Linked DNA regions of Styela clava. The protein of the gene in region 2 purifies or fractionates together with the protein of the main gene of each other region. This does not show direct contact. Links are inferred from orthologs where the notes say so. Each region holds a gene or a part of one and is shown on either strand. Other genes may lie near its edges.

The links. The genes of interacting proteins can lie anywhere in the genome.
Region 1: the proteins of 7SK snRNA methylphosphate capping enzyme-like (region 2) and RNA N(6)-adenosine-methyltransferase METTL16-like purify together in Homo sapiens (affinity purification with mass spectrometry; 3 studies listed by BioGRID). This does not show direct contact. The link is inferred for Styela clava from reciprocal best matches to the Homo sapiens genes MEPCE and METTL16.
Region 3: the proteins of 7SK snRNA methylphosphate capping enzyme-like (region 2) and U4/U6 small nuclear ribonucleoprotein Prp4-like purify together in Homo sapiens (affinity purification with mass spectrometry; 4 studies listed by BioGRID and IntAct, with this or other methods). This does not show direct contact. The link is inferred for Styela clava from reciprocal best matches to the Homo sapiens genes MEPCE and PRPF4.
Region 4: the proteins of 7SK snRNA methylphosphate capping enzyme-like (region 2) and cyclin-dependent kinase 9-like purify together in Homo sapiens (affinity purification with mass spectrometry; 10 studies listed by BioGRID and IntAct, counting the BioPlex papers as one, with this or other methods). This does not show direct contact. The link is inferred for Styela clava from reciprocal best matches to the Homo sapiens genes MEPCE and CDK9.

Annotation. Positions count from the first base shown.
Region 1 is NC_135263.1:14,653,776-14,661,485, reverse strand, and holds RNA N(6)-adenosine-methyltransferase METTL16-like, read right to left. Parts: upstream 2,767-7,710; 5' UTR 2,762-2,766; coding exon 1,382-2,761; 3' UTR 967-1,381; downstream 1-966. Other genes in the region: uncharacterized protein LOC120340733, read right to left, coding at 305-444, 810-900; GPN-loop GTPase 3-like, read right to left, coding at 3,579-4,412. UniProt on the Homo sapiens protein: RNA N6-methyltransferase that methylates adenosine residues at the N(6) position of a subset of RNAs and is involved in S-adenosyl-L-methionine homeostasis by regulating expression of MAT2A transcripts.
Region 2 is NC_135252.1:268,403-276,760, forward strand, and holds the start of 7SK snRNA methylphosphate capping enzyme-like, read right to left. Parts: upstream 3,144-8,358; 5' UTR 3,124-3,143; intron 2,413-3,123; 5' UTR 2,147-2,412; coding exon 1,903-2,146; intron 1-1,902. UniProt on the Homo sapiens protein: S-adenosyl-L-methionine-dependent methyltransferase that adds a methylphosphate cap at the 5'-end of 7SK snRNA (7SK RNA), leading to stabilize it.
Region 3 is NC_135254.1:14,595,578-14,603,167, forward strand, and holds the start of U4/U6 small nuclear ribonucleoprotein Prp4-like, read right to left. Parts: upstream 3,467-7,590; 5' UTR 3,394-3,466; coding exon 3,246-3,393; intron 2,849-3,245; coding exon 2,730-2,848; intron 2,038-2,729; coding exon 1,870-2,037; intron 1,790-1,869; coding exon 1,707-1,789; intron 1,259-1,706; coding exon 1,165-1,258; intron 789-1,164; coding exon 635-788; intron 145-634; coding exon 1-144. Other genes in the region: 5'-nucleotidase domain-containing protein 3-like, read left to right, coding at 4,845-5,296, 5,815-6,065, 7,018-7,412. UniProt on the Homo sapiens protein: Plays a role in pre-mRNA splicing as component of the U4/U6-U5 tri-snRNP complex that is involved in spliceosome assembly, and as component of the precatalytic spliceosome (spliceosome B complex).
Region 4 is NC_135257.1:5,451,384-5,459,686, forward strand, and holds the start of cyclin-dependent kinase 9-like, read right to left. Parts: upstream 3,467-8,303; 5' UTR 3,207-3,466; coding exon 3,118-3,206; intron 2,891-3,117; coding exon 2,809-2,890; intron 2,483-2,808; coding exon 2,376-2,482; intron 2,203-2,375; coding exon 2,100-2,202; intron 1,493-2,099; coding exon 1,362-1,492; intron 1,041-1,361; coding exon 866-1,040; intron 692-865; coding exon 575-691; intron 502-574; coding exon 178-501; 3' UTR 1-177. UniProt on the Homo sapiens protein: Protein kinase involved in the regulation of transcription.

The sequences.
Region 1 (7,710 bases), on a different chromosome or scaffold from region 2:
AGTATGTATTAATTTTAGGGCGCTCCAGAAGTGTATGTACCAATATGGAGGTAAATAATTTTATTCCCCTACTTTACATCAACTTGTATGATAGGACTGAAACCTATAAGGGCAGGGGGTATATTCACTTGGCTAACACAGACAGTCCACAAACTTGCAAGTTGCAATATAACTAAAATAAGGAATATCGGAATAAAATAATGGCCTAACCCCAACCTGGTACATACACTACGGAGGTACCAATTTTGAAGTCATGATTTTTCATGAAAATGTCCCCACATACTACTCATTCTTACTACATTACCTTTTCAAATACAGGAACAATTTCATCTTCAAATAAATCTCTGGGAATCTTTCCCACAAAAACTTCGGTTCCACGAGCAGGTGGAGGTCCACTCCAATTCGGATTCCAATATCTTCTTTGGCCATTGCATTGTTGCATACCTATGATAAAAATGATGCAATGGGATAGGATTTGTTATATTTATTCCAAAGGAAACTTACATAGCACTAGCACAGTATATACACAGCAATCATTTTTAATCTGTAACCAAAATAGTAATAAATAAAAGTATAATATTGAAATTCCACAACCAGGAGCTGATGTATCATGCTTGCGATCAATCAATAAACAACAAAAGTAATGGAGCAGAAGCCTAGCTTCGAGGTAAAAAATAAAGCTTTGCCAGAGCCACAGATAGAATATAAAGGGGTTCTGTAACTGGGGTCATTCATTGTAATTTTAAACAAGCTCAACAGCCCTGGTTTCAAATTATTTTATCTCCATTAAAATTACCAACAAAACTTACGATATCCTGTTCGGTTTTCCAATTCCAAAAGACGAGCCATCACTGCCTCGTTGGCAGGAGAATCAAGAGATTGGCTGCTTTCATTCGACATTTTCGATGATCTAATAAAACAACTTATGGAATGATGAAACAATGATATCAAACTTTTAGAGTAAGGTCTGTAAATGAAGAGTACAGAGTAATATCCAAAAGGGGTTCATGTGTCCTTGCATTTGTGTTACATGCTGGTTGGCAGACAGTAATCAATGAAAAATGAAACAGGTCAAGTTATTCAAAAATGACATCAATTTCACAAAATTTGTTAGATACGAGACCGTTTGACTGAGCAGGTTTATCTTATTGACTTCGCTACATGAAAAAATTATTTGGGCCTAAAGTCAATACCGCCCCAATTACTGTAACCATAAAGTATACCTGCCTAAAAAATACTATGACATCAGAGTCATGAATCTTAAAAAATCTGAATTATTAAAAAATAAATTACCAGGGCAGATAAAAAATTTAAAAACAGCTTTAAGTAAAGATTAACGATGTAAAAAGCTGGTAGTATAAACAGAACTGAAAAATCTTTATTATGTAATGTCAGAGAGTAAAATACGTTTTAGATAGACTACAAGTGTATTCATAACTTCTTTTTGGATTCGAATTTCAGTCTTAAATTGAAGTTTGATATGATCGAAAAAATCTTTGAGAATTGTAACTTCACATTGAAGTAAGGTTGACGCAACTCCATTTGGTAATGTGCAATCGGAATGATTTTTTGTTAAAGGTGACTCCTCGATTAGATTTAGATTTTTGACAGAACCTCCATTACAAACGCCATCAAGTTTTCTTTTCCGTGATCGTCGGCGGATATGAACCCAATTACATTTTTCACATTGCAATTTTAAAATAACAAGATTTTTGTTATTTTCTATTTCCATGAATGAAATACCTAAAATGCTGAGTTCTCTTTTAAGTGAGTCATACACATAATTTAATTCTAATGTTTTACGTAAAGAAAACGTAATTGGCTTAACAACTTCCGAGTTTTTAGTCGCGTTTTGTAGAGAAGAACGTGGCAATTTTGATTCTGTAATCATATCAGAACAAAAACTCCACCCAATGCCCCATCTGATAGTTCTTCCTTGACAAAATTCATATGTTGTAACTAGAATTTCACTGTATTTAGAAATTTGCTTCTTGAATGTAACAAAGCTGCTTTTCTTTCCCATCAGTATTGTATACCAAGTAACTTTTTGCTTTAATTCTAAACTTTCTTCAAAAAGTTTGTGAGCAAAAGCAAGATCACCACCATCTGTTATTGATTCAACATCATTTGCGTGACATGATGAGTTTGCAATGGGACCGATTTTAGTTTCTATTTCGCTTGAGTCATTGAAAAAGGGTGGATTGCACATACATAAATCAAATCCATCATTTGCATCTTGGAATAAATGTAATAGCAAAGAAGTTGTAGCACTTTTGTCAACTTTGAGAACTTTTATCGATGACTTTAGTGAATTTTTTTCTATGTTATTAACAGCATTTTTGAAGTTTAAACTATCAATCTCAGTTGCAGTGAATTTCCAGTCTGGGTTATTTCTCATGCCCAGTAACGGATATATACAGGCTGACCCTGTGCCGATATCCACAATATGCCTTTGCTTGGTAAATTCCTGTGAAGTAGCATTCAATAAATCTTCTATCCATAGAATATAATTTAAACGAGATGGAACTGTAGGAGAAAGCCTATCTGAAGGAAGATCTACATCAAGTTCGAAGTCCTTATGTAATAAACATTTTGTTAATATTCTTACAACAGACGGAATTCGGAAATTTACAAATGCCTTTCCATTTGGATTGTATTTGACATATGGTTTAAATTCAGGATACTGTTTCGATAGTTCAATAAAATCTGGAGGATTATCTTTGTACCCATTCCTTGGGTGCATGTGTTTGTTCAAAGCCATAGCATAGTAAAGTGCATGAAATCTGCAAGAAAATATGAAAACTTGATGATTATGTAAATGCAAGAAATATAATCAATGGCGTGAAAGTAAAAAGATGTAGACAATCCATTACAGACATGATTTAGTCAGTTTCAACAAGATGAAGCTGATTTTTATGCAAAACATGGCATCTTGATGATAAAATCAAGATATAAGTTCAATTTCGCAACACAAAAGATTCACATTTCCTTTTGATAACCAATATACAAAATAAGATACTGTAAAGAACAGAATTATGCATTAAAAAAAACGATGGAGCCATTCCTACTTCTAGAAGCGAAAATTACTTTCCAATATACGACTATAAAATAAACTCACAATAGAACAGGATCATTCAGCACAAGATTTCATTTCAAATGTCTCAGAAATTGAGACTCCATTCTATAAAATTTTCACATATAGAAATATTATGAAAAAGTTACACAATCACACTATTTTAAAGACTCAGCGAAGATGGAACATCATATATACCCAAGATATAAAATTGTATCACTGCCTTCTGAAAACAAGTAAATCAGAACGCTAAAAAGGCGCTTATTATGGGTCTGACAAAATGATATCACCACCTGTTTGGCTTATTCAAGCATTTACGACGTGTACTTCTTTCGCCGCCATATTACTTTGTTATCAACCATTATTTGTCCTCGAAATTGTAAGTGAAACAATATAGTGCACAGATTTTTGATGATGGTCCCAATTTTGGATGTGTTCAGGAAGGTCGTGACCTATTTATTACTCATACCCAGCTTCGTCCGGATAGACAGCAGAGGGAGCAACCCTAGTCTTCTGCATCCCTTTCATTATCTTCATTATAATCTTCTACACGAACAGGTTGGTCTTCACTAAACTGCATAGCTGTATCAATATGCTGAAGTATTATATTAATGGATTCTTCATCAGATCTATCAAGTGGAAGAAATCTGACCATACTGTAATCGTCAATAATTTGACAAAGAGATTCTGTAAGTTTTTGATATTTTTTATCATGATATGTATCACACATGTCTGCTAAAAGTAGATTTTGCATTTCAGGATCTAAAAATTTTTGAAGATCTCGCTTTGAATGTTTTGAAAGAAGATCAACTTTGGTCATTACACTTAGATGTGTTATTTCAAGATTTATCATACAGGATAGCGAAGACAATGTACCTGATATGAATTTGCTTGGCTCTCCAAGAAATTGCGAATCAACGAGAAATACACCACAAGTTCGAAAGTCCCAATTTTGTAAATTTTCTACTAAAGTTTTCATAACAGGTAAGTGCGTGTATAGTTCAATTTGACCAGGGCAGTCAAATAGAAAATAGCTATCCTCTTCCATGTCTGTTATGAATTCTTTAATCCAGTCCATATTTTTAGCAAAATACTCCATGCAAAATACTAAGCCCCCATTAGGCCCAAATCGTAACTCTTCATCTTCCATCACATCATCCAAATGAATAAGTTCCCTGATATCCAGTTCGACAGGGTAATCAAAATATTCTGCAGCAGGATCTAAGTTTACAACATAACATTTCCGTTTTAGCACCGAAAAATGCTCCACCATCATTGAACAGTATGTACTTTTCCCACTTCCAGCAGGTCCCATCACCAATTGAGCATAACGTGGCATAGTGGCAATTTTAACTATATTCAATATCTGTATTCTAATATCTGAATTAAATGCGGCATTATGTTTCAAACCCGGCTGAGGATCCAGGGAGCTGTGACATTTTGGTGGAGCTGGAGCCAAGCCTAAAATGTTAGATGGAGCTACCAACAATTTCAGTGGCTCCAGCTCCAACCATCTAATTGTTTTTTAATTATTTATAAATTTCCAATACATCACACAAATAAGAAAATTTATCCTTTCCAGCTCATAAATTTTTAAACAGTACTTTATTTTATAATAGGCCTATTAATTTAAAATTTCAAGTTTGAAACCCTTATATTGTACTTTTTTCTTTGATGATAAATAAAATAATAATATAAATCATTACATACAGATGACACATAACAATTTCCATAATTTATATTGATCAGTTGTATCCACATGATAGCGGGTACTTCATATATCTGCATATCCCATTTGGTGTCATCATAGATTATATGTTCCATAATGCTGTAATGCCAAGTATCATTACCCTCTTCTAATTAATGCATAAAAATAAAATTTAAGAATTAGTTCCACTTCATTTTGGTAACAGATGTACTCATATTTACCTTATATATATTTGCATAATGAATCAAGTTCATCAGAATAATTGTGCGGGGTTGGTAGCACAGGTCATATCAGGGATGGCGAAATACGGTCTAATTTTGTTAAATTAGGGATGGCAAAATACAGTCGAAGCATGTCAGATTAGGGATGGCAAAATATGGTCGATGCGTGTTAATACGATCAGTCACAGCACTTCTTATAACGCTGTAATGTGTTGCCTGCAGATACCAGTGTAAAACAGCTTACAAAACATGTGGAATAATTCGCTAGTGAAGAATATAGAAAGTGAATTGTCAAAAAGAACTAGTGATGGAAAACACAACAAAGGAAGTAAGTATGGCGGTCGTGATATCAAACTTAATGTTAGTATCAAAACAAATACTAATAACACAGTGGAAAACGAAAATCTCTCACAAAAGTGAAAAAGTTGTGAAAACTAATTACCGGTAGTAATTACTTAAGCTGGGTGTAATGAAAAGCATAACAACCAAAAATTGATAAATATTAACAGGGAATGAATAAATAATTCTCGTGGAGCAATAAAATAGCAGTACCGGTAAATGTTTTCATGGTAACAAAATGTGTTCATCAGTACAGAAAATATGCATTATTCAACACCATCATCCATTGAAAAAAAGTTCTATTAGCAAGAGAAAGTGACAAATAAAAAAAAAGTATTGAAGAATAATGTACATACATGAAATCACATTTGTTTTTGTTTTTACGCCACTGCAATGCCAGCAAAATTCCAGCCAAATGTTTTAAACATTCTACCGGGTGTCATACCAGGGTGTGCCATGAATCGTAAAATGAGGAACAGAAGTTATATTTACATTTTTACAATATTCATCGTGGATTCATGGTAAATATGAATTTACCACTAAATAGAGGACTAATATAAGAATTTAACACGACAAAAAATTTTAGTGATTACCTGTGATTTTCCGAACTTTTTTGGGTTCGAATATTGGGAATTGTGCAAGAATTGAAAATTTTGGTAAAAAAACAAATTGATTTTTTTTATTTAACTTTTCTGGTCCCGGGGGCAAAAATATGGATTACCAACTGAATAAAGGACAAATATGAGAACTCACCGCGACAAAAAATTTTTGGTGCTTACCTGCGATTTTTCGAACTTTTTTGGGTGCGAATATTGGGAATTGTGCAACGATTTTGTTGAACTTTTCCGGTCCCGGGGGCAAAAATATGAATTTACCAATGAATAAAGGACTAATATGAGAACCCACCGCAACAAAAAAATTTTGATGCTTTCCTGCGATGCTTCCTGTGAAAACATTGGTGGGATACCCGATTTTTTTGAACTTTTCCGGTCCCGGGGGCAAAAATATGAATTTACCAATGAATAGAGGACTAATATGAGAACTCAACGGGCCAAAAAAATTTTGGTGCTTTCCTGCGATTTTTCGAACTTATTTGGGTTCGAATATTGAGAATTGTGGAAAAATTTAAAATTTTGGTAAGATTTTTTTGAACTTTTCCGGTCCCGGGGGCAAAACTATGAATTTATCAATGAATAGGGACTAATATGAGAATATAACGCAACAAAAAATTTTGGTGATTACCAGCCATTGCTTCGAACGTTTTTGGATTCGAATATTGGGAATATCCTGTCCACATTGATGTTTATTTTTTGACACGAAGTGGACCTATGCATCGTTACACGTTAGTGGATATAGCGATCGTTTTGCATTATTTTTGGACACCTAGTAGAAAACTTAAAAAGTCGCTTCTATCTTTGATTACTGGACCAATATCTTCAAAATTTTCAGTGGTTGGAGAATTCTATCTAGAAGGCCATGACTTTTATTTATTTCATATATTTCTGTTAGCTCTGTGGAATTCTTTTTTTCTTTGCTATGACGTGACCGAACGTTCTGCGAACGCACGCCACCTGATTCCGTGCTCGGCGTTTGCCGATGGATCTACTACTTAGCAAAAGTGGGAAGTTTTTCATGTCGAACGATGGACTGTGGTATTATTTTCGGAAATTGGCAAAATGCTCACGTGTCCATATATTTTTACGTCGCTATCTTGTGTTATTATGTTGTTGTCTTGTTTGATACGAAATGTACCTATGGATCGTTTTGTTACCATGATGTTCTTTATAAACCTTGCTTGCTACATTCAGCATTCCTCCCTGTAAAGCTTGCGTCAGCTGCGCCATTGCATGAACAGTGTGATCCGGCGTACCATATTCCATCTTGGTATGGCTTCTTATAGTACCCGGTGACTCAATCTTAATTTCATGAGCTGCTGACCTGTTTACAGGTTCGACTTTCCAAGTGCAGGTTTAAGTATTCTGTGGGGTCTGCAGCTGCCGCAAAACCATGACGATATTTCCATACCATGGCCGCTACGGCCAAACCTATGGCGACTGACTTTTTAGCTGCCACAAACCAATGACAGGCTGGCGTTACCGCGGCAGCAAATTGGAAACCAATGGCAGGTGAAATTTTGCTGCCATAACCACGGCAGGTGGGCCGTAAAGACAGGGCTGTTCCTTATGGTGACAAAAATTGGGTAAGTTGGAACGTTTTCTTATGGATACAGTTTTGATGAATTTAGGGTTAGGGTAGGGTTTAACTTTAAGTAGATATTATTCCGCATGACCATTTGAAATCTGGTACATTAATTTGTGAATATACCGTTAATACTGATTACTGGATAGCGCTATAAAACCATGGCAAGA
Region 2 (8,358 bases):
TCTTTTTTAAACATGTATCCTCATTATCTCAAGTCTATCAGTTTTCTATCCCTGAGCAAAGAAATAGTCAATTCCGCATATTCTGCTACAGATCCAAAGTACCACTAATACAATTTGAAAGATAGTCTGTTGTCTGTCTATTTCAAATCACTGAGATATAAGAAATGTTACATAAAAAACAACAAAGCTTATACAAATACATAAGTAGGGGTGGGCAAAATCAAATAGCTTTTTCGAATCAAACAATTCGAATATTTTTTTTTCGAATAACGAATATTTTTAATACACAATAGGAATCCAGAACGTCAGAGGTCCATACTCCCTTTTAAAATTAAATAATGTAAACATTGCAAATTCAATGACAACGTTGATTTTATACTGGTTAATTTTGACATAACCGCTGATTATATTTATCCCGTTTGATTTAACGACCGAAAACGTAAATTTGATAAGATATATTCCAGCCATTTCTCTTTTTAGTATTAATTCTTTTTATATTTTGAATATTTATACGATGTATATAATATTTATACGTGTGTTCATATTGATGACAGATTGAGGTGTTATTTCAGGACCTGATTAATTTTATTATGATCATTCGTGTCGGCTTTGACCTCCCTATCACTGTGCGTGATTGCCACCAGGTAAACTCATGTTGATAATAAATGAAGCACAACCGGTGTTAGCACAAAACGATGTAATTTGCCGACGTTTCGAATTTCTATACAGAAAAACTTCATCAGGGCATGATATCGAAAGGACACACTGTTTGTAAATTAACTGTCCTAGTTTTAAGATAACAATGTTATCATTATCGACACCGGATTGCAGATATTTATGAGGACGATAATTGACTGATGTATGCTTTTCTATGATGTCTGTCTTATTTTTGTATCAAATAGATAACTCTGCAAAGCTGTGATACTAGAATCCTGAATGTTGCTTTGATTTAAAATAGTAAATAATAGGGATTTCTATGTGGTCATTGGGCGAGATGAAGTTATTACCGGTAAGTGCTTTTGTGTCTATTGAGGGTTAAGATCATTATTACAGCTAAAATCGTTACCAAGAAATTCACAATTTTATTTACGAAATTTGAAAATTCAACAATTAACTAGCCTATTTCGATTAGGTCACGCCCTAAATATTACTGCACAAAAGCTTCAAAATGTAGAAATAATGTATCATTTACGATGATGATAGGCTGGGCGCAACAAGTCGTAAACGAGCCAATGGGCATTGTTACAAGAATATTCAAGATTCATTACATCGTCTCCTATTGTTTACAATTTTACCACCATGCATGGCCAAGTGAATGTTTACATTTTCAAAACATTACTTTGTAAGGGAGGAATAGATCACTGAAAATACATGCCAAGCTAATAGAAAGTCAATTTAGAGGGATATGGCCTTATCTAGGCTAGAAGTGATGCTTTTTAAAAATCTGAGTTGCCATTTTCAAATTGATGCTATTTATATAACTCACATCTTCTGATGACCTAAATTTCCTTTTCCGACATGCATGGTCTCTTGAGAATGTCATTTTAACATTTTATTAGCAAAATAAACGATTGAAAATGATACAATTGCGAAAAAAGAAAGCAAAAAACATCTCAACGCAAAGATATTGAATTTGTGATTATACAAATTTGTCGTTTCTGTCTGTTTGTGAAAGCCGTGGGTAAATTCTCGTACAATTCCAGGCCATCGATTTTGCAACATGAGAGTTCCTTGTCCCAAGCAAAGTGATGGTACACATGGTACATGAATAGTAAAGTGCCATTCGAACATCATAATATAAGATTTGCTATTTGAATACTTTGACCAGTCCTATACACACTTATGAAATATTTTTATTTCTTTATCTGATTGATATAAGCATGTTTATAAAAATTGTCTTACCCATATTAGAATGTTCATTAAAACTGTTCCTTCTCTTGCGTCTTCTTGCTCTACCTCTATTTCCCGCCTGATGAATTTGATTAACATTTTCCTCACTTTCAACAAATTCAGGGGCACTTGAAAAATTTATGCCATTGTCATTTTTCAGAAAGTCTTCTTCATTTGTGATAATGGTATCAGTATTGGACAATTGTAAAATGCACCTTCCTTCTGATGAAGGAGATAATGTTTGCACAGTTGCCATTGCTAATTGAAACGATCAGTCGTTTTATGAAGTTCTGTTATACCAGTATACAGAGTATTTTTGGATGCAGATCTAGAATATATTCTGATTAGGATGAGATGCACTAGTCAATAGTGTCTCTAAGTTCGCACAGTAAAGACAAATTTATGTTATTTGTCTAAAATGATGGTCTTTATTTTTGCAGACTGTAAATTCATTAATGAAGTTTGTGATACAAAATGATTCATGATGCATGTAATTGAAAGATAATGGATAGAAGCTAGAACCTGTAAAAAAACAATATTGAGCACTTTTATTTTTTGCTAGTTTGTTCTTAGTTCCCCGGAATTTCCCAGATGTGCATAGTCAAATAGGCCTATTAAATAATATCGAATTATATGCAACCCTTCCATGTTTTCAAACAATAAAATACCAAAAATGAATAAGAGCTGGATCATTTCAAATGGACTAACTAAAAAACATTTATGATTTTTATGGATCCTCCCTGGCTTTGTTCTTCATAGAATGACCATAGGCCTATATCTAAATTTATTAGACAGATATTTGATGAAAGTGAATGAAAATAAAAATAACAAGATTAATTTTTGATTAATTGAACTAGCAAACAGACATATAATTAAACTGTTTTCCACACATAATTTCTTATCAACTTAATAATTCCAATTTTTGCTATGTGATAGGTCAATGATGTGCCAAGCATTAAACTAACCTAAGCACCATTAACACATGTAAATCATTGCGAGGCAATATTCCTTGATTTGGCCATTGTTTACGTGATATTGCAATCGCATGATTGACGGCGCAATCGGCCAAACAGATGTGTGAAGTAAATCTCGTTCCAGTGTGGTCGTGACCAGGGCCACGCCCCTCCAATTCCTCTCTCGAAAATGTAAGCGCCTGATTACAGTTACAAATCGCCTATCTGATCTGTATTATGAAAAAAAAACTTATATAGAGAGCCCGAAGCGTATACTCACAATTATGGAACCGCTTGTGCAGATAAACCTCTCCATTGATACAACATTAATTAAACGAACGAAAACACTCCCTCAACTGCTAACGCTGACACAACCGAACGCACCCAGGCAACCCGCCGTAATGAGATGTTGAAGTCGTACATGCGTTTTTAACCGATGTATCACGTGACTACAGTCAGTCGAGCGAACGTAATCTCTACGTTTTGACGCGGCGACGTTTCCTTGACGTTTCAAAACCGATTTTAACTTGTTTGTTGGACACAAAATGGGCCAATGGATCGTTTTGTTATTATGATGTTGTTGGTAGTGTTCTTTTTTATGTTGTCCTAAATTTTCAGTGAGTTGAAGATTGTCGTTATCGCTAAAACACTATTACTTTTATTTATTTTATTTGAGTGAGCGAACACGTAATACTTCTTTTATCAATACCTTCCCACCTAAAATAACCTTACTTGAGTTTTCGTTTGCTTTCCCGATTCTATAATCAGTTTTATTTATTTAGTTTTTATCAATTATTTTATCGTCTATTGCTGATTATGGAGTCGGAATAAACTTATACTTACTTATATTTCTAAATGTACCGGTATTGTTAAATTACGGGGGTTGGGTGTAGTGTATTTCCATAGCGATCGACGGATAGGATTTACATACCGTGTTTCCCCGAAAATAAGACAGTGTCTTATTTCATTTTTTTTTGAAAAATAACACTAGGGCTTATTTTCGGGGGATATCGTTAATTTTCATTTATCAAAAACAAAATTTCAAAGTAGAAAATTACTATTTTTTTATTTCGTCAAAAAGCATAACATGTCGGTATAAGAAGGCAATGGTAACCTAAAATTTGCGCTTTCGCGTTAGCAAACTCATCCACCATCTTCGTCATATCAATTTGGGTCGAGCGTTCAGATTCAATACTCAGCAGCGCCAGTTCACAGAGCCTTTCCTGCGACATCGCGCTCCTGAGATAATTTTTTATTAATTTCTGTTTCGAAAACGAACTCTCGGCAGTTGAGGTAGTTACGGGCAACGTTAGAATGATCACCAAGGCTGTACAAATATCAGAAAAACTCAAATCTTTTCTCTTTGTTTGTTTTGTGTAATATGATACGAAAACCCCCCTTTTTTTCCGCTGTGTATTCTTCGGGAAAGGCCCTCGGGGTCGACACGGGCCTGCGTCTATTATAATTTTTTTGATTTGTGCGTTGATTTCAACGCCAATGAAGTTTCCCATGTCCGATGGATACTGGCATTGTGTCAGCTTCGTTAGCGAATCGTCATCTAAGAATTAAGTTTTGGTCGTTTTTACACCAAATTATGCAACTTTTTCAATTTGCTTCAAAAATCAGTAGCTTACCTGTGATAATTGTCGTGTAAGTTTTGGAAGAAAATTCATTCGCGCCGGCGCCATCACTTTGATCACTGAAAATTTCAAGGCAATTGATACTGTTATTAAACGACCCCAAAACGCTCCAAAGTTGCAAAATTTTGTTTATTAGCATGTTTATTAGCATCGAACCCTTTTCATCAGTAGCGCTTGCAGCAGCTTGCTCCAAAGCTGCGTTGGTGGGTGTCAATATTTTATTCAATATATCTTCATCATATTTATGCATTAAAAACGCTAAAATTGGCAATGGTATGTAATATCTATCAAACCTATACATTTAAACTTATGTACGGCATTTTTCGATTTTCTGTAATCTTCTTGTCATAAGTGTAACGTCATTATACCCTTTAGTAGCAGTTCAATACCTTGTTAAGGATACATACCGGTATATCCAGAGGCTCTTGTTGTACTCGTAAGACGTAAAAGATCTAACTAAAGTCTATAAAAAGGGTGAGACAAGTGATTTGGATATTGTTCTCGGTGACATCATAAAAGGTATTAATTTTGTTCAGTCGCATATTCCAAGAAGCACAGAATATTTTCAGAAATTAGCAAAGACATTAAAGCAAATGATTTGAGGCTTACGCCGAAGTGCGCTGGTTATCGAAAGGAAAAATTTTGAAATGAGTTTTCTCGATTGCGATCTGTCTGTTTTCCTAACCCAAATTAGACATTCGATGGCCGTTAGTTTTCAAGATATCTTTTGATCAGCAATATTTGAAATCACAATTCAGCTGTGTTTTATTTTTAAAACTAATAGCAAGATTCCGACTCATAAAATGAAATTGAAGTTGTAGCAATTATTTTATTTGTCTTTTAAAAAAACAATTAACAATAAAGTTGATAATCTTCGTCATCGTATAAAATATATATATCGAGGATTCGGAATAATAACAAAACGTCGGGGTCTGTGACGAAACGTGTAGATATAGACAGAGTTGATGAATCGTAATATTTTGTGAGAAAGCAATAGATCCTCTGAGAATTGGTGAGAATATTTCGAAATATTAATATTTATTTTGTCAATTTCAGCTCGGTGTTAAAATATTGTAGATTTCTCTGTTGATTCAAAAGTAAAATAATACAAAAGTTTGAAATAGAAAAACCATGTAATGAGTCTCAACTTTTGTGTGATTACTTATGAAGTTATGATTTTTGATATATTGAGTGATTATACATGTTTACCAATGAAAACGTTTGTTATTTTCTTTGCGGAGCAGAATGCTTCTCAAAATTGATGAGTGCATTTTTTGTTATAGGAAGTTGATATGGGTTTGTTTCTAAAGACAGTGCCGGAGTTCTACGTGTCAGTAACAAATCCAAAACAAAATTAATCATGAGGTCATCAAATATTTACTCAATGAAAAACAAACACTTCAGTAGGGTTGTGCCGGAAGTTTGCAAAAATTGCCTCTATCAAACTCGAAATCAGAAATCAATCAATGCCAAGTTCTAAAACTTGCACAATTTAACACCTGCGACAGTGCTTAAAATAAATTCCAAAAAAAAAAAAAATTATTAGTCTTGCTTGGTTTATAAATGAAAATATACTTTTTCTTGGTACCAAACGTAGTTCTATGAAGAACATTTACAGGTGAATAGTTTAAAAATATACTCGACGTTTTGTACAAAGGAAATTTGAATGGAGGAGGGCATGTTTCACATGTTTTCTTATTTTAAGGTCCAATTATTTTGTTGTCTAAATACGACGATACTTATGTAACAATGTTTTATTCGGACGATGTGAACCGAAACAATTTCTCGACTTTTAGACTTTAGAAATTTGCTAGAATCATGGAACGATTTCGCGATTGATCGGAAGGGAAAAGTGTGATTCCTCGTCGGACGAGACGCCAACGGACAATCAATACCCCATTTTTAAGATCTTAACGACAGAAACAAATTATATAACATACTCATATAACTTTGTATTTTATTCAACCAAACAGTAATATAGGCAGAAAATGTCGAAATAACAAAATTTCCGGTAGACCGGCAGTAATCTGCGGTTGGGAATCACTGTTTTCTACGACACGGCAAGTCAAAGTTATTGCAAAAAATCTAAAAGACATTAGTAAGGTCCGGTTCGATTGAACAATGGGTGTTTTTGTTCCGTACTATGCTTCTTTTCTTGGGTTAAAAATAGATACAGTTCTCGGGTGATATTTTAATTTAGTTTTAAAGATAATGGGAAGCATGTCAAAAAAAATTTCACATTCATTCTATGTGACATTGTGGAATAACGTATTCAAGTGCTGTTTAATCCACATCCTCGCCGATTCGTTATCTGTGGCCCGCGTCACATTCGGAGAGTAATAAAAAAAACGCATTCCGTGTTGTTTTGTAATAAAATTAATCAGAAAATCTTTTGACATATTGTTACATCACTAATGTCATTAAACTGACTAGTGTTATGGCTAGCTGAGGTAACTAGCAAAGTTGAGTGATGCGCTTGGCAGTCTAAATTATTATCTGGCTTTCTATCTTTTTGGCCGGGAATATATGCTTACGATGTAGGCATCATAGAAAACTAAAAATAGAATGTAGATTCTATTAGCCTGGGATGGCTATGTCTGATAGCTATGTGTTTGCACAATAAAAGCATTCGTTTTGTATTGCACTGTTTACCTATTCTTGGCACTATTGTGGCCCGCGAACAATGCAAAAATGATTTTGTGACCCGCGGAGCCGACAACCTTGGACCACCCTGAACTAGAGTATACACGGTGATCTACAATATATTTTTAATGAGATAAATACCGCGAACATGATCGCTTCACGCAAAAAATAATTTCAACCTCAGTTCTCTAACTTATTTTATTTTTAAAAACAATCTGAATCAGATTAAAAAGCTTAATATAACGGAAATATCGGTCTACATTTAGCCGATACCTATACACTACCGATACCAAAAATTTGGCTGATATTTCCCATACCCGATACCGATACAACCGTACATCTCTCGTCAATTGTACATATAACAAGCATATTGACGTGCTGCAGCTCAACTTCGAAGCTATTTTACGGTTGTTGAATATCAGAATCTTGGTTCTCCAATATGGCCCGTCCAGCCATTCGCAAGTGCAGAGGTTGCTAATGCCCACCTCACTGGCGAACTGCTTGAACTACGATCAGATCCGGTACAAAATGCAGAGTACAAAACGAATAAAAACTACAACGAATTTGGGCAGCACTACTAGAAGTTCCCAAGTATCGCAATCAATTGCACAAAACGCTTTCACCGTTTTCGTACGAATGTCATACATTTACAAACAAATGTTTTCTGCAATCATTGAAATTTAACCCCCAAAAAAATTCAATCAAGGTAGTCGATACACTAATGAGAGGGGCACTGGAAACAAGATTATAATCTCGCTCTGTACAACTAGATGATGTATTCCAAGAACAACGTTCACATTAACTAAATGATGAACTATTACGTCGACATAAACATATATATATATAACTTCTAAACATTATTTACGTATTAAAAATGTAGGATGGGCGGGGTGTACCAGATTTTAAGAAAGAGTGAAAAGGATGTACCACTCCAAAAAAGGTTGACGAGCACTGGTCTATTCAGATCAATCTTCCCTAATATTTACTACTAGTTGCATTGTCGACCAGCAAAACATTTTCCTATTTCATGTATTTACCCAAACTTCTGAACTTGTATCATCAAGCTCTCGACCAGTCTGTTATTCAAATCATTCGAACAGATGCAAGTTAGTTCAAACAACTTACAGAACACCTTTAAAGAATTATGTTTAAATTTATTAACGCTATGCGCGTTGTAAATCCTCAACTATTCATGATATTAGGAATAAAATAGATGTAAACATTGCCATACC
Region 3 (7,590 bases), on a different chromosome or scaffold from region 2:
TATCTGCTACTGGTTCAGATGATTCAAGATTCCATAATTTAATCACACCATCAGAAGAACTTGATGCCATGCAACATGTCTTTGGTTCTAATGATATCGTAGCTTGTGGATGAAATGCTATAGAACAGACGTTGATATTGTGTCCTGCAAAAGTAATTGAATAAAACAATATATAGACAACATTGATATAACAATACTTATATTCCATAGATATACGTGATTGGAATAGGTTATGCTTTACTTTTTTATTTTTTAAATCAATGCAGGAACTTTGTCAACCCCCTGGAACAACTCAACCGAACTGCAGGTTTCGATCAACCTTAGATTAAGAAACACTGCGCTTGAGAGACTCATCTTTTGAGTGCATCTTAGGCACTCTGTGGGCCATGCACTAATCAGACTAACTAGAATTTGAAACCCATTATTTTCAACTTGGGACGACAACCCAGTCAAGTTAGTATCTTGGACCCTAGGCCCATTAGGGATGACAAAAAACCCAAATTCCAAACATTGAATATTTTTCAAATGAAAAATAATTTTGAGAAGCAGCATATATACAGATATCAAATTCTAACTTTCTTACTTTTGTTGTCTGTAACATACAATTAAAAGAACAACAGTTACCATCACATACCTCTTAAAGTATTAATTTCCTCACAATCAGGAACTGACCACAGTTTACACAAACCACTCCATGACGTTGTTGCAAGTATTTTAGAATTAGGACTGAATTTACAAGAAGATATTGGCCTTGAATCACCGATTTGACTTCCGACACTGTTTACCGCCTATTAAAAAAGTAAATATATTTGATCATTTGTTCATCATATTTGTTAGCTTGTGGTACAGTTGGTCAATTATTCCAACACCTACCTAAGCTGATAACCAACTAAAATATGTGGTTTGAGTTTTACTCTCAGGTCTTGAAAACTGATTTGGCTTGGCAAAATCACAATGATTACGGAGCCACAGTATATTCAAACTGTGGGTTCAGCTCCGAGACCTCATTTTTTTTACCTCACAGGAGTCACAGCCACGCTATAAACTACTCATTTCAGTGCACAATATAAAATAATTCAATAATTCGACTTTTATGGAATATCAAGTCCAAGTCCTTATATAATTTTCTGTTCGAGTAACAGCTGATTTTGTCAATGAACATACTCGCATATGCCTGTGTATCTCTTGTACCCTTGCATGTTTTTGTGTTGTTGATTGCTCCTGTTGTTCTCTCGCTTTCTGCAACCTTGCCTTCGCCCTGAAACAATATATAATATATTTCAGTAAAAAATTTTCCAAAAATTGACAATATCAAAACTACAATAATATGCCATGGCCTAGTAGTTGACTTAACTGTGATACACATATTAGGTTCAAATCCCATCCCCACTGTAGGCAATGATGAACTGGAAAGACTTGGATCTCCACAAAAATAGTGGCTCTTCATATATCAGTGGCATCTTGAATAGGGCCTTGTTCAGGACAAACGGTTCGAATAAACGTATATTTTAAGTTTCAATTTATAATGAACTGGCACCACTAGTTTACACAGAAAGTATTTAATTTCTAATTTACTCTATATTTTTACTAAATTACCACTTTTATCAGGTTAGTTTATATTTTATCAGTGTGATCAATAATCATTACTCTCTTACTTGAGCAATACTACGTTATCCAATCTTTCCTTGAAAAATCAAAAAAGTTACCTTGGAATAGAAAAGTCAGCAATCCACATTCTTGCTGCCTTTAGACTTTCTGGACCTTCGTGATACCATGTTGTCTTAGCGAGCTAAAAGGAAGAATATTATAAGCCTCTTTACACATAATCCGTTCTTTCAATCACAATCTCTTAATCAGTTTAAACGTTACCTCTTCTTTTTCTTTCTGGGCCAACAATTGCTTCTCTGAAATTTTGTTTTTCTTTAAATTATCTTCACCAATGAGTCCAATAATCTCACGGAGACGTTCCCTCCTGTCCGCAGGACCTTCACCAAACAAGGTTATGGGTTCGCCGAATTCTCGAAGTTGTTTTCTCACCTATTTTAATCACATAATGTTGTCTAATAGCTATTATTCCAATTTTTAACACAAATTGGGCCTAAACAACAACTTGAAAAGATATTATTACTGGAATTATGCTACTATACTCGATAGTTGGGATGGAATTGTACGAAGCAGAAAATGCGGGTATAAGAATGTAAGTGTTAGCAGTTCCACAAAAAAGTTTTCGTATGAAAATCCTCTGACTAGGAATATACCCTATTAGTAAAAAATCATTACTTTTGTTTGTAAAGTTTTATTCCTAGTTAAATCTGATGAAGTTTGTTGACTAAAAAATAAAACATGACATTTGAATGAACAGTCAAAAATGGGGCTTTTTAATAATTTGTCTTTGAAGATCATAGTAAGGATATAAGGCTTCCTATGCATATTATTTATGAATGCATAGTTTTTTTGTTTACAAATTCTGTGAAGCTATTAATTTTATGTAAACAGAACATGGTCCAAGCCAAATTCAGTTTTGACTTGATTTGATTTCCACTAAAAAGGTAAATGTTTTGAAAAAAAAACTTATAATCTTAAGCATAGGAAGTTATAATATTGAATTCTCATAATGAAGAGTTATTTACTTAGATTTTGGGGATCCTTATTTATAATTTAATACTAAGTTTAAAATGTGTTGGGGTAGTCAATTTCAGGACGCTTAAGTCGATCCAATATAATAATACCTCTACGTCATCTGTTGTAACTTGGATTTGTCGTAGCTGTTTCTTTCTTTCAAATTCAGCAAGAATTTCTGCTTGTCGTTTATTTATTCTGTCTTCAATTGACATTTCCATGGTATCACCTGTTAAAAATTTCAATTGAATAGGAAGCAAAATTCTCAGTTGAAAACATAATAAATTATGTTGCGTAAAAAGTTAGAGTGACAGCTCAGTGGATAAAGCATTGCACTTAGATATGTTGAAACCACATATTTAAATAGTGGGTCCAAATTGAAGCAAAACCTACTTCCTAATTAAAATTCTGATGCAATGGAAGTTGATATTAGTATATCTGTATATCAATTTAGTTTTACCAAGATGTGGCCTCGTGTGTTGTGTACCCCAATATAAGTGACTGCTTGTATACAGCCTTATTCAGAGAGAAATGCATGTAAATTGTGTTCACAAAAAACTATAAAAATGCTGTAATACAGTGATAAAAGTAACGCAGAATTCATAACATATATTATCAATACTTACTCATGTTGGTGATATTAATATTTCCTGCTTTAATTCCAAGCTGAATTGCTTCTTCCCCAGACATACCGACTCTGTTTTCAATGCTTCCATATTGGACAGTCTTCCTAATCTTTCTTGGAGCTTCACCATCAGAATCGGAGTCAGACATCCTTCTGTCTTTTTTATTTGGAACAGTTTACTTATTCATGCATATATCCAGATAATAATCTGTTAAGTAAAATACTCTCTTAACTCCCAGTCAACTTCTGTGTTTACTGGTTTATAACAGTACCGTATAAGCACAAGGCGAAAACCAGATATCCCATACGATAGTACAGTAGTATCAATGACTGAATGGGCAAACAGGAAAATCTGTTTTACCACGGTACCTTCGAAATCGGCCGCGCCAAGATGATCCCCTACTCACGTTACAAATTAATACCAAACAAACAGAAAATCTTCACTGATTGATTATGAAAAGCCGGAAAAATAGGTATGAATGTATTTCAGAATATGGCTACGACACTTTCCCACATGCAGACGGGAATATTAGCAACAGTGGCCTCGAAAACTCTCCTAAACACTGAAAAACCGATTTCAACAAATGCGCATGGAATCCTAACACAGTCCCGGAAAAGAACAGAAAATTCATACTGATTGATTATGAACAACTATAGACGAAGATATGTAATCGTTTTCATGCTATAAATATACCAGTGCGAGGCATGCACGCTAACAAGTGATAGGATTGAATCGGTACGTTAGTCGTTGGATTGAATGGAACAACCGCATTAAAAACTAATTTCAACAGATGCCGCATTGTGGGCGGAGCCTAGAGTGAGACTATGCGGCGATTGGTCCAAATAATATTGTCTGACTGTCTGGCCGGTTAATGCTTGAGTCGGCACGGTATAAAGTTGTGCAATCTTCAGACCTTGCGGCATTTATTTGCGTTTGTATCACCGTGGGCAGGTGGGGAGCAATGTCTGGATGTTGGTTGTCTTCCAAATAATAAACAGTGGTGTGGATGAGTTCTTTTTAAAATGCCTCGACAATATATTTGAAAATAACGTCGGAACAATCAGAGACTGTGTTCTGGCAATCGAGTTAGTTCAGGATTTATTGTTGGCTTGCAGACTTCATCGCTGTCTTACTTAACCTGTTAACGGAAAAAGCTATTTAGGTGAGTCGTTATGCATGTAGTTTTTGATGTAGGCATACCAGTGAGAATTTGTACGATTGTAATCAAATATAGCTTTTGAAACATGAAATAACCCACAATACTGCAATATTGAAATAGAGACAATGCCTGAATGCACAACAGTGCTGCAGTGGGATGACTGCTGATTGCAACATAGAGCTTACAGACTTTAGGATGTATGATACGAACAGAGCAATGACAGTTATCAATAAAATTATTTTCATGGTTGAATGTATGACAGTAAATTCAGTAATTTGTTTATATATTCCTTTCTGAAATATCTTGTTTTTGAGGCATTTTGAAAGTAAATTATTTTTATGAGAATGTTGAAAATTGTTTTGATATAGACTTGGCCGTTTATTTGTGATATGTTTTAGAAATGAAAATAAACCATAATTGTGCTTTTCAGGTGATCCACAATGTCAACAAGTTTTTGTTTAAGGCCGCTGATTGGTCGACTGAAAGGAAGGAGTATATGTCCACGTTTTTTCTCACAAGAGTCATGTTCAAATCAAGAATTTATGCAGAATCGTTATAACGAACTGAGAGCTCTTATTTTTGATGACCATCAACAGATTTGCAATGTTAATCCTCGTGGACTTTTTGCCATTAATCAAATCAATTTGGGAGAAATAAAAGTTTATGGATTTGACTATGATTATACTCTCGCTCATTATTCTGATGACATGCAAACATTCATATATGACAGAGCAACTGAAATATTACACAAACAGTTCCATTTTCCCAAAGAGCTTTTGAACTACAAGTACGTTCCAGGGTTCTGCATTAGAGGTCTTCATTATGACATTCAACGCAGTTTACTCATGAAAATAGATGCTTGTCACGTCATTCAATTGGGTTCAGTGTACAGGTAAAACAATTTGAATATTACATATCACATGTTAATAACAAAGATAAGGATGACAGCGGTGCAGTGTGCAGGTCACGTATTTGCTGGTCCAATACAGATTCTTTCACCAGCCATAAAAAAAAATTATAAAAAAACGTTTCCACTTGTTCAGTGTCTTTAAAAGTTACGAATCATGAAGGTTTGAAAACTTGTCATCCAAGTATTAATTGACTTGCTCACCTATTTCGAGTTTGAGTGATCATGCTTGCAATATGATTAAGACGTCTACTTGGCTTTCCACTGCCCCAGGATAAATATGAAGATCCCATATCTGAACATAGAATTGATAGCATCCAGATGCTGTGAATGCATCGAATATTTGAATACATCTGAGATATATTTTATACAATAGAGAAAAGGCATTTTTTCATTTGACCAGCTGAGGCGGAAGTCAAGCCAGTAGTGGAAAAAATTAGCACAACTCTTTATTTTTGAAAATCAATACTCATATAAATTTTTTTAATATCTGTTCTTAACAGGGGGCTAAAACAGCTTAGTGAAGATGAAGTACTGTCTCTATTTAAAGGAAGTCGTCATATTCCAAAACGTATCATGGATGAATCTCTCTTTGGAGGAAATTCTCTCAGACAGTTGCTGGATATATTTTCAATGCCTGAAATGATGTTGCTCACCAATGTCGTAGAGTATTTTGTCCAAAATAATATAACTTATGACCCACAGATTTTATTTGAGAGTGTGCAAGCAGCTGTCAAGCAAGTTCATGTTGGAGGTATGTTTTAGTTTATAGTAGATCTGAATATACCTGAATTGAAGCTCGACGACTATACATAAATCAAGTTATTAATTTTGTAACCCGAAATCATGAATCAGGATATAATTCTTTTCGAGGCTTTGGTGAAATTCCCTATATAATTCATTAATGACTATTATGTATTATACCTAATCTCTGATGTTAAGTCACCTGTTCATTAATTTTCAAGTACTGGATATAGTTCTGCATGATTTTCACACCTAATAGTCTAATACTGATCATCATTTGTAATTGATTAAGTTTAGAAGGTATTGATGATGTGAGAATGATTCTTTCATTTTTAACAATAGTAACCTTTTGAACCTAACATTAAATGCTGATTATTCATTAACCTGACTGTGCCTCTGAAACTTTAAATCTGATTCCAAATAGATATAAAACAACACCTGGTTGACTAAAATTGTAACTATGACAACTGTTCCAGGAAGTACAAAAAACAAATTGTACCCAACCCCACGATACCAATCTTCAGCCATGAAGATCTGTTCGAACTGGGGGGAATTAATGTGTGCCGGAGTATCCCATAATGTATATAACACTGTCCTCTGAAATTGCCTGATTGCAAAGTAAAACAACATTTGTTGACAGAATTTAGTATGGTGCATTGATATGTAGATATCAGTAAATGCTGTCAAGTCTTACAGCTATATCAATTTCAATTTTTTTCACATTAATGACCTGTAGACGTTGCATCATTATTGCAAATGCTTTACAGTGAGTAAAATTGGGTTTTGAAAAATGGTTGTTAGCCTAAAACCCATTTTTTCTCACTTCACATTGTCATTATTTGTTATGTCATCTGAATCAGCAAAAAATTCCTTGCAGCGTTGCAGGCTTGCCCGCACCATCACTACTATGGCTCTGAAATTGAAGCTCTGGTGTTAACCAACAAATCATTATTCTTTTTCAGGCCATCTTTTTCAAGAAGTTTATGGTAATGTGGATAAGTATCTTAAAAAGAATAGTTTAACTCATCTGATTGATCACTTAACATCAAATGGAAGAAAGTTATTTCTCATTACCAACAGTAACTTGCAATTTGTTAATGTTGGAATGAAGCATCTTATTGGGAAAGATTGGAGAGATGCATTTGATGTTATTATCGTTGAAGCAAAAAAGCCAGGATTCTTCCAAAATTACAAGAGGCCATTTAAAAAGATTATAGAATCATCTAGAAACGGTAACAATGGAGATAATAACCATACTGTATCATGGGAGAGGGTACATGAATTCACCAAAGGCAATGTATATTATGGAGGTTGTATACAGGACTTGATGCAAATATCTGGATGGAGTGGACATGAGGTAAGACTGCATTGTGTGATGACCTAGAGCAGGGGTGTGCAACAGGCGGCCCGCGTGCCATAACCCGGCCCCTGTCAACACTCAGATTTCCCCAATCAAGCATAAAATCCGAATCCGAGAGTATGTTTAGAAGGCACTCACTTGTATAAAAATATATACGGTAATGTTTTTCGCTCTC
Region 4 (8,303 bases), on a different chromosome or scaffold from region 2:
AGCCCTAGTAACGACTAACGAGGACTGAAAAGCACGATTTTACTAAAAAATCCAATTAAGATCACCCAGAAAATAGCAGATGTAGTTGGCACAATTTGAATGATAAAACAAAATGCTTGGGATAAAAAAAAAAAACTGTGGCAGTGATGACAAAAATATTTCAACCACCCAAGATCCTCAAAATATCCTGTCATAACTTGGATCTGTGGGCTGCTGTTTAGTAACAGCACCAGCTGCTGGGTGGTGCCTTTGATTATTTTTCATATGCGGATTTGGTCTACGTGGCGGAGCAAGATATTCAAACATTGATGTCTTATGCTGAGACAACATGCTTGTCAAGTCACAAGGGAGAGGTTCCGTCCAAAAAAAATCATGATTTAATGCATTATCAGAGTCTATCCTATTCTTCGGATCAAGCCAAAGCAGTTTATCAATCAAGTCCAATGCATATTGATCTTTCACATATGCTTTTAAACGCTCCTTCACTCTTCTTTTCGAGCCCTGTGAAGAATAGTACAAAATTGGAAGTAAAAACCACACTATTTACAATTTGAAAATGATGGAGTAAACTTACCTTCGGCAACTCAAACTTTTTATACAAGTCATATTTTTCTACAGAAGGCCACACTTGAGGAGAAATTGATCCACAAAGCTGGCATATAAATTTAAGTTGTGTTTGCTCTGTGTCACCCTGTGACAAAGAAATTACAGTACATTGACCAGTCAGTTTTTATTGGTAATTGTGCTAAATTTTATTCAGAATAATGCATTCAGATTCATGAGAATGTGGCTTATTACATGAGAGTCTGTGACATATTATGATTTGGAATCAAAGTTGAAAATTTTTAATATGGATGACACATACTTGCATGATAGGACTCCTTGTCCACATCTCTGCCATGATGCAACCAGCTCCCCATAAATCAATAGACGGACCATAGTCCCTTTCACCAAGAAGAAGTTCAGGAGGTCGATACCATAATGTAACTACCCTATTCGTATACCGATTGACTTGCCCAACTTTCGTGAAGCTAAAAGCTCTGTATTTGTAAAAAAACAAGGTATGAGTGCACTTCAAATTTACTTATTTTGAAAGAAAATGAATTTCATGTCGCATTTCTCGTTTCACAGCGGTATTTATTGACAACTTTGCTAACATCAAAATATCTCCGAACAATGCTGAAAAGATACTCCAATATAAAAACGAATAAAAAGAATTCAGTTCATATCTTTGTGGTCACCACCACACAATTATCTTAAATGTTAAACATCACCCTATTTAACAATGAACTTCTTTCCAGTGCTCCTATTTTTCTTGCCTGAGCCTCTACTGAAAATTGTATTTTAACGAAAATCGATACCTTGCAAGACCAAAATCGGCCAATTTTAAGACTCCAGTCTTTGTAATCAAAATATTTGCAGCTTTCATATCACGGTGTAATATTTTATTGCGGTGGATGTAGAACAATCCTTCCAGTAATTGCTGCATAATCTAAACAATTGAATACGCTGTGCTATAAGTTAGGAAGGAAAGAGCATTCAAGCAATTGACCATTAAATTTTCAAATTGTGAAAATGCCATTAATATCAACAGCATGCCCGTGAGTGCGCAAATGTGTGATGTCTTTATGATACCAACTTCCATTTTCTCACAGGTTGTGAACCCCTACTCTTAAACATAAACGCACTAGCGGTCTGGCGCAGAAGCATACATTAAGTGATTAGTCATGCAAAATGATTCTGAGCTCTGACCACTAGAGGGAATCGTCGAAATAATCTGAACCTAATGTAAAATTGTCACTGTTGCTAATTTTTGCTCTCTTGTTTCATATGTTAGCCTGAGATCAAATCGAGGTTGGCTAGTTTAGAATTTATATCCTATTTGATACCTGTTCATATCTCCTAGTGTCAATATTAATGATAGGAATAGTAAAATGAAATAAGTAATTAAAAATAAAATCGAGCATCTCAAATCAAGATGCTATCTTTATATTCAACTGAATTAAGCACTGTACGGGAAATAATTTCCCACATATACAGTCTCTGAGAACAATAATAAAACCTATTTCACTCCTAATTAACGATAACTTACATTTTACCTTTTTAATTTCCCCAAGTGTAAACTTCACAGTTGCATTGCTCAATAATCCTGCTAAGTCATGATCACACAACTCAAACACAAGATATATTGATCCTTTATACCTAAAAATTATTGAAATATGGTAATTATGGTTAAAATTATCACATGCAAATACCACAAAGTGTTTTAGATGTGATAAACATACAATATCTTATATTTATATACTGTATTATCTCAATTTGCACTATTGGTATGTTACTAACAAGGTCGAGAAAAAATCAAAATACAAACTAACCTGTTATACTGAGTAGGCTTTGCACGACATATTTCAATTAAATCCACCACACTTTCATGTTTTAATTGCTGCAGAATTTTAATCTCCCTCAGTGCTGTTATCGGAAACTGAGATAAGATTTATAACTATTTAGGGTAAGATCAAATTTGTTGGTTTTTACAAAAATATATAATACACAGAAGTCTCACAAAAATGCGTTGCCATGCTATTGAAAATGACTGATAGTTGCTTGGCTGCTATCACAATATTCATTTCTCAGATGATAGTCCTCAGTTTTCAGAATTTAGTATTATAGTTAGGTTAGAAAATCAGCAATCTCTGACCGATGTCTATGAACTAGCCCAAGATGCAATACACTTTTAAAATAATACCAGCTGTTACAATCAGAAATGGGCTTCTATAAATGTATATATAATGTTAACATTCTTCTTACTCCTTCTTTTTCATTCTCCATAATCACTTTTTTCAGTGCCACATACCGTCCAGTCTTTTTATCTTTTGCTTTGAATACTTCCCTGTATGTATAAAACTTTATCATTCATATCATAATTAGTTCATTTTTTGTTTCACAAATATTTCAGCTTAATATTTACACAGTACCAGACTCCACAACTCTGCTCCAGCTGATCACCAGACCAACTGTTACCATGAGAGAGTAGAAAGAATAATTAATACGCTTTGTTAACAGTGCATGAATACGTTATTAGGATAACGAACAATGGCTTTAAAAAATTAAACATACCCAAAAGTCCCTTGTCCAATTTTTGTGATTCTTTCATATTTGGCAACATCGTGGCATAATGGAAAGTCCAAACTGGCTTCTTTGCTCATGGCCAAATACTCAATTTGAAATCAATTGTTAATTGAAGTAGTAAGTAAAAATACTAGATAAATATTTTACAAAAAACATTGAAAACTGATGGTACTGATCAAAATTTGACTAATAGTAACAAAATCTGTTGCATCAGAAAATTTTTGTAAAAAAGCAATCAACCATCACACAGCAGCACAGTGACATAGCTATGAAATATGTTCAAATTCTGTTCTACAGAATGTCTTTTATTAAATATCAACTTATAAATGCTCTTTATGTACGATTGTAAAACAAAACATTTTGCATGTCTTTGTAAACAAACTTAAGTGTATCTTCGTCGATGACAGATAAAATAATTGGTTTTACATGCAAGATGTTATCAGAACGAGTCTGTATGTTGATGAAACAAACAATTTGATGCATTTTAACAGCTTGTTTCATGGTAATGTCATTAATTAGAATCTTCGGAAAAAATTCATAAACTTTTCGCCCAGTAAAATAAGTCCGAGTAATCTGTAAGCCATATCTTCTGATGAGCAAAATATTCTCTTCAATCAGGTATGCAAAATGTAAATATGCAGATACAGCAACAACAACAATCAACCAGAGTATTGGTATAAATTTACTTGGCATATACCAGAACATATATACCACAGACATCAATAACCATGGCAATAAACCAACAAATAAGTAAGACATTGTATTTCCATTAGGAGTGTAATTCAAAATACAAGAACAACTGACAGGTTCACCAGTTGAAGATGAAACTTTTGTATGGTACAACTTTGCCGTTTTCCCAGCAACTGTTAAGCAGTTACGCTCTGAGTAGGAAGTGCAAAACATTTTAAATAAATTCTATATAAACGAGTGATACAGGAAAAAATGAAAGAATCAGAATAATTTTGACTACATACAGACATAGACCTTCTCCGGGATATTCTAACCCCAGAAATTTTCTCTGCATAGAAACACAAAGTCTCTTGACAGCATATATGGTTTACTAGGGTGACCATACGTCAGTATGTCCTCCTTTTTCGTTGAAAATTTTACGTCCTCCGAGAATGCTCTAAAAAGTCCTCATTTCTCACTAGATTAAAAATTTAAAATGCTCTTATGATATAATTAAAATTTTTTGATGTGTTACAAAAATTTTAAAGTTGAAACTTGTAAATATCAATACACATACGGCACACGTGATGTGTTGAGATAGCATGCGAGATACCTTTAAGTCAGTGTTTATACCCTGGGAACGATCGAACCACTGGGGTTCAGTGGAACTGTTTCATGGGTTCGCCAAAGTTCTTCTAGAACAGTAGTTAACTTATATATAATAAATTCCAGGTCTAGTATAGTACCACAAGTACTTCCGGTGTGTAACGAATTTTGTATATGTTATTCCTAACCCCAACCTGACTATGTCATCCATAAATTACGTCACAATCACATCATAGAGCTTGCCAAGTATTGCTACCATCGTTCGAAATGGCATCTGCGCCGACGATACCGAACTCACTAACGCCAGCGGTCTCTCTCATATCGGGATCGTTGCAACGAGAAAAATAGCTTGCTGGATCTCGAGTGATTGTCTGCGCGTTTCGGACAACCATCCGCACTTTTTAGCGGTATTTATTATGCCACTGTGGACTCGTAGTGACGTAATTATTTGAATGATTTAGGAATGACATATGCAAAAATTGTTGAGCCAGGCCAACTAGAAGTGCATGTGTTATACCAGACCCATAAAATCCTTATAGTACCCATCTTACTAACTAATAAAAATATCAATAGTTCATCAAAGATAGGATAGGACTTACATATTTATCCCAGGGGAGAGGAAAGTCGATGATACGGCTTATCCATATAGCAAACCACGGCCTCTCGTCAGGTTACGGTACCATTCCGAGTCGGGTATGGGATATCAGGATATATACCGTACTGGTACAATCTTAAATCATGTTTAAACAACTCGTAAAATAGCTTAACCGGGTGTATATGTTTTACTGGACATGTTAATGACTGTTACCGGTAGCCTACTACTAACTAGGCGCGGCGGTGTGGCTCAACGGGCTAAGCGTTAGGAATACGCTCGCCACCGCACCTCTGATTACTCTGCGTGGGTTCGCAGGTTCGAATCCCATGCAGGGATGGTTATGTGCGAGAGGATTGCTGGACTCCTCGCCGTCGTTGGGTGGTTCACGTAACCGCTGGTCGGTTACGGCTTCTTCCACCACCAAGTCCATGCTTCCGAAAACAAACAATACAGTAAAGCTAATCCCATACCGGTACCCGACTTGGAATGGTAACCGGACGAGAGGCCGTGGTTCGCCATATGGATAAGCCGTCTTATCGGCTTTCCTCTCCCCCGGGATAAATATATAAATCCTATCCTATCCTATTAAATGAATCTTTGTATACCAACTCTACGCCCCACTCTTTGGAAGTTGATCTATACAGCTATACTGTACCGGTACCGGTACGGTATGCCTTCTACAATCCTCCTAGGCAGCGAGACGAGGCCGTTTACCTTTCAGATTCGTAGCGCACATAAGGGAACTACCGGTACTTGGGAATAATTTTAAAATGTTTCTAGGAAATTTAGTAACAAATAATAATTTGTTCCCATTTCCAAAAGTTGCACGTTTTACGAAAAAGGCGCTTTCACTAGGAGAAATATGTGATCCTCTCTGTCTGTCCAATGACATTAAACAACATGATAGGCAACTCTGACGTCACTCCATAAGACTACAGGCGAAACATTATATTTCATGATACGCTCCAATGCACATATTTCTCGTCGCCTTTCGCGTCCGTTTTCCGCTCGCTTTTGCTACTCGGCGTCTTTTTTACGTGTAGTACCTGCCTTTTTGCGCCTGTAACGAAACAAAATAATTTCTATATCTAAGAAGTTTTGCTTACTTGGAAAGCTGGAATAACAGGGAAGCTGTAAAGAGCAATTCTGGACATCATAGACGTTTTTTTTTTATCAGAGAAGATTACAAACGCGATAGCGGAAAGATTTGTGTGGAACATTTTGCAAATAATGACAAAGTTCAAAGTTAGTAATTTTATTGTTTGCGCTTAATCATTGAAATTTCATTTAAAGAGGGTGTCATACAAAACTGTGCTGCGATACAATTCCATAACACAAGGTTTGCACCTATCGAACTTGCTTTTGTAGGTGAATTTATTAGACATATTACATATTCAGTTAATCGTAGGTAACATTGCTGGTACATAATGCATCGTAGATAGGTTTGTTTAAATTTAGGAATTTAGCTCATAGCCCACTAATTAATATTATCTTCTATGCAGGAGGTTGCAGGGCTGAATTCAACTTGCAGCCTTACCGATCACCTGACGATGCTCATTTAGTTTGGCTCGAGCAAGTCTTCTTGAAATGCTTGTGTGGATGGAAACTACCTATATTTTTTGTCTTCCTCCGATTTTAGACAAATTTATTCTGAGGAATTTCGCATATAATTCTCACTGATTGTTGGCTGTTTATAATTCCTATTGATTGTGAATTCTGATTATAACAATGAATTGAAAATTTTTTTGCCTAATTTACTGGCACCTTTTTCTTGTCAATACTCCAAGCTGAGGTAATAAACATGACAATACATTTATGTCATCTGGAAGCAAAATATGCACACTAATTAATAGTTTGGCACATTGAGATAATACATCATGACAGAAAATACAAGTTAAAGATATGTATGACCATCACATGGTAATTAAAATTAAAAAAACTAATAGGGGCTGTGGAGTATGAAAAGTTCAAGACAAAGAAAAGAACAAATGTTCATAGCTCATGAACTCTCAATTTTGCCTCCATGGCTTTGTGAAGGCCAATATATTTCGAGTGGCTGAATTGGTTTACCTTTATGACAGCAACGATTTTGTATTTAATATAGCGAGATTATTTCAATTTAATTGAAGTGATATAATTTCCCAAAGCAATGCTTGAATCGTCTAGAATAGATCAGTGGTGTCAAACTCATGGGTTTTTGAGAGCCGCATTGCATTTTGAAAATTGTAAAAAGAGCCGCAAACAGTTTTTGATAATGTATACTTAAAAGATATTTTTAAGATAGTTTTAGTTTGTGACATATATTGTGATGCAACTAAACAGTTGGATTAAGTTTTATTATTTTCTTCAATTTCAAATGCAATTACATATTAATATTTGCATTCCACTATTATTGCAACATTTGCAAGTTACAGTATTTATTATAAAAAATCGTAAAATTCTATGTACAACCATCAAAATCATTTTTGAACAAGTTTTGAATAAGGAAAGAATAATACATACACTAAAAATAACTTAATCCAAATATATGAACCTAAAATTAACAAAAATACTACAGTATAAACTCAATGTTTTAATAATTACATTTGTCCTGGCGTTTGGCATCTTTTTTGTGTCACCAGCATACTAAGGCCAGTTCGAAATGATTTTATAGTACCAACTCTAACTAACGAGGCCACATGATCATGGGTTTATCTGGATCTTTACGAATGTTTAATTAATTCCAGTAATGCAAAAAAGTTACTTTTATCATTTCATGTATAGATCAGTAAAAAACAAATGACAGATTTTTTCGACAAGACATTTCGCACTACATTGCGTGGCATAGGATTGCTTGAATTATTATTGATATTGATTTTTAGTAACTAAGTCGTTGTATAATTATATTAATATACAAACACATGGAAATTTTCTGTTCGAAGTTGGTCTTCGAATTTGTCATATTGACTGCTGAGCTTATTGTGTTTTTTGATTGTATTGATGAAAATATGACAAATTAAACAATGTGCTTCAGAATTTTGTGAAGAGCAGAAATGTTACAACTCCCATTTCTTCGAAAATGCCACCTTCTTCATGTACTTTGCGTTTAATTTAATTACTCAAGTGTTTTATTCAAGTATTCTTTTGCTAGCTTGATGTGTATTCTTAATTGGGTCAAAATGTGGACAAAAAAAATTAATATTCCAAAACTAATTTCAGTAAATTGTTTTCTGTGTGAATAATCAATTTCACTTTAGAAGGTTTGAAAAATCTATTACATTAAGATAAAAAAAAAAACTTCCAAAATACTATTACAATTATTGTT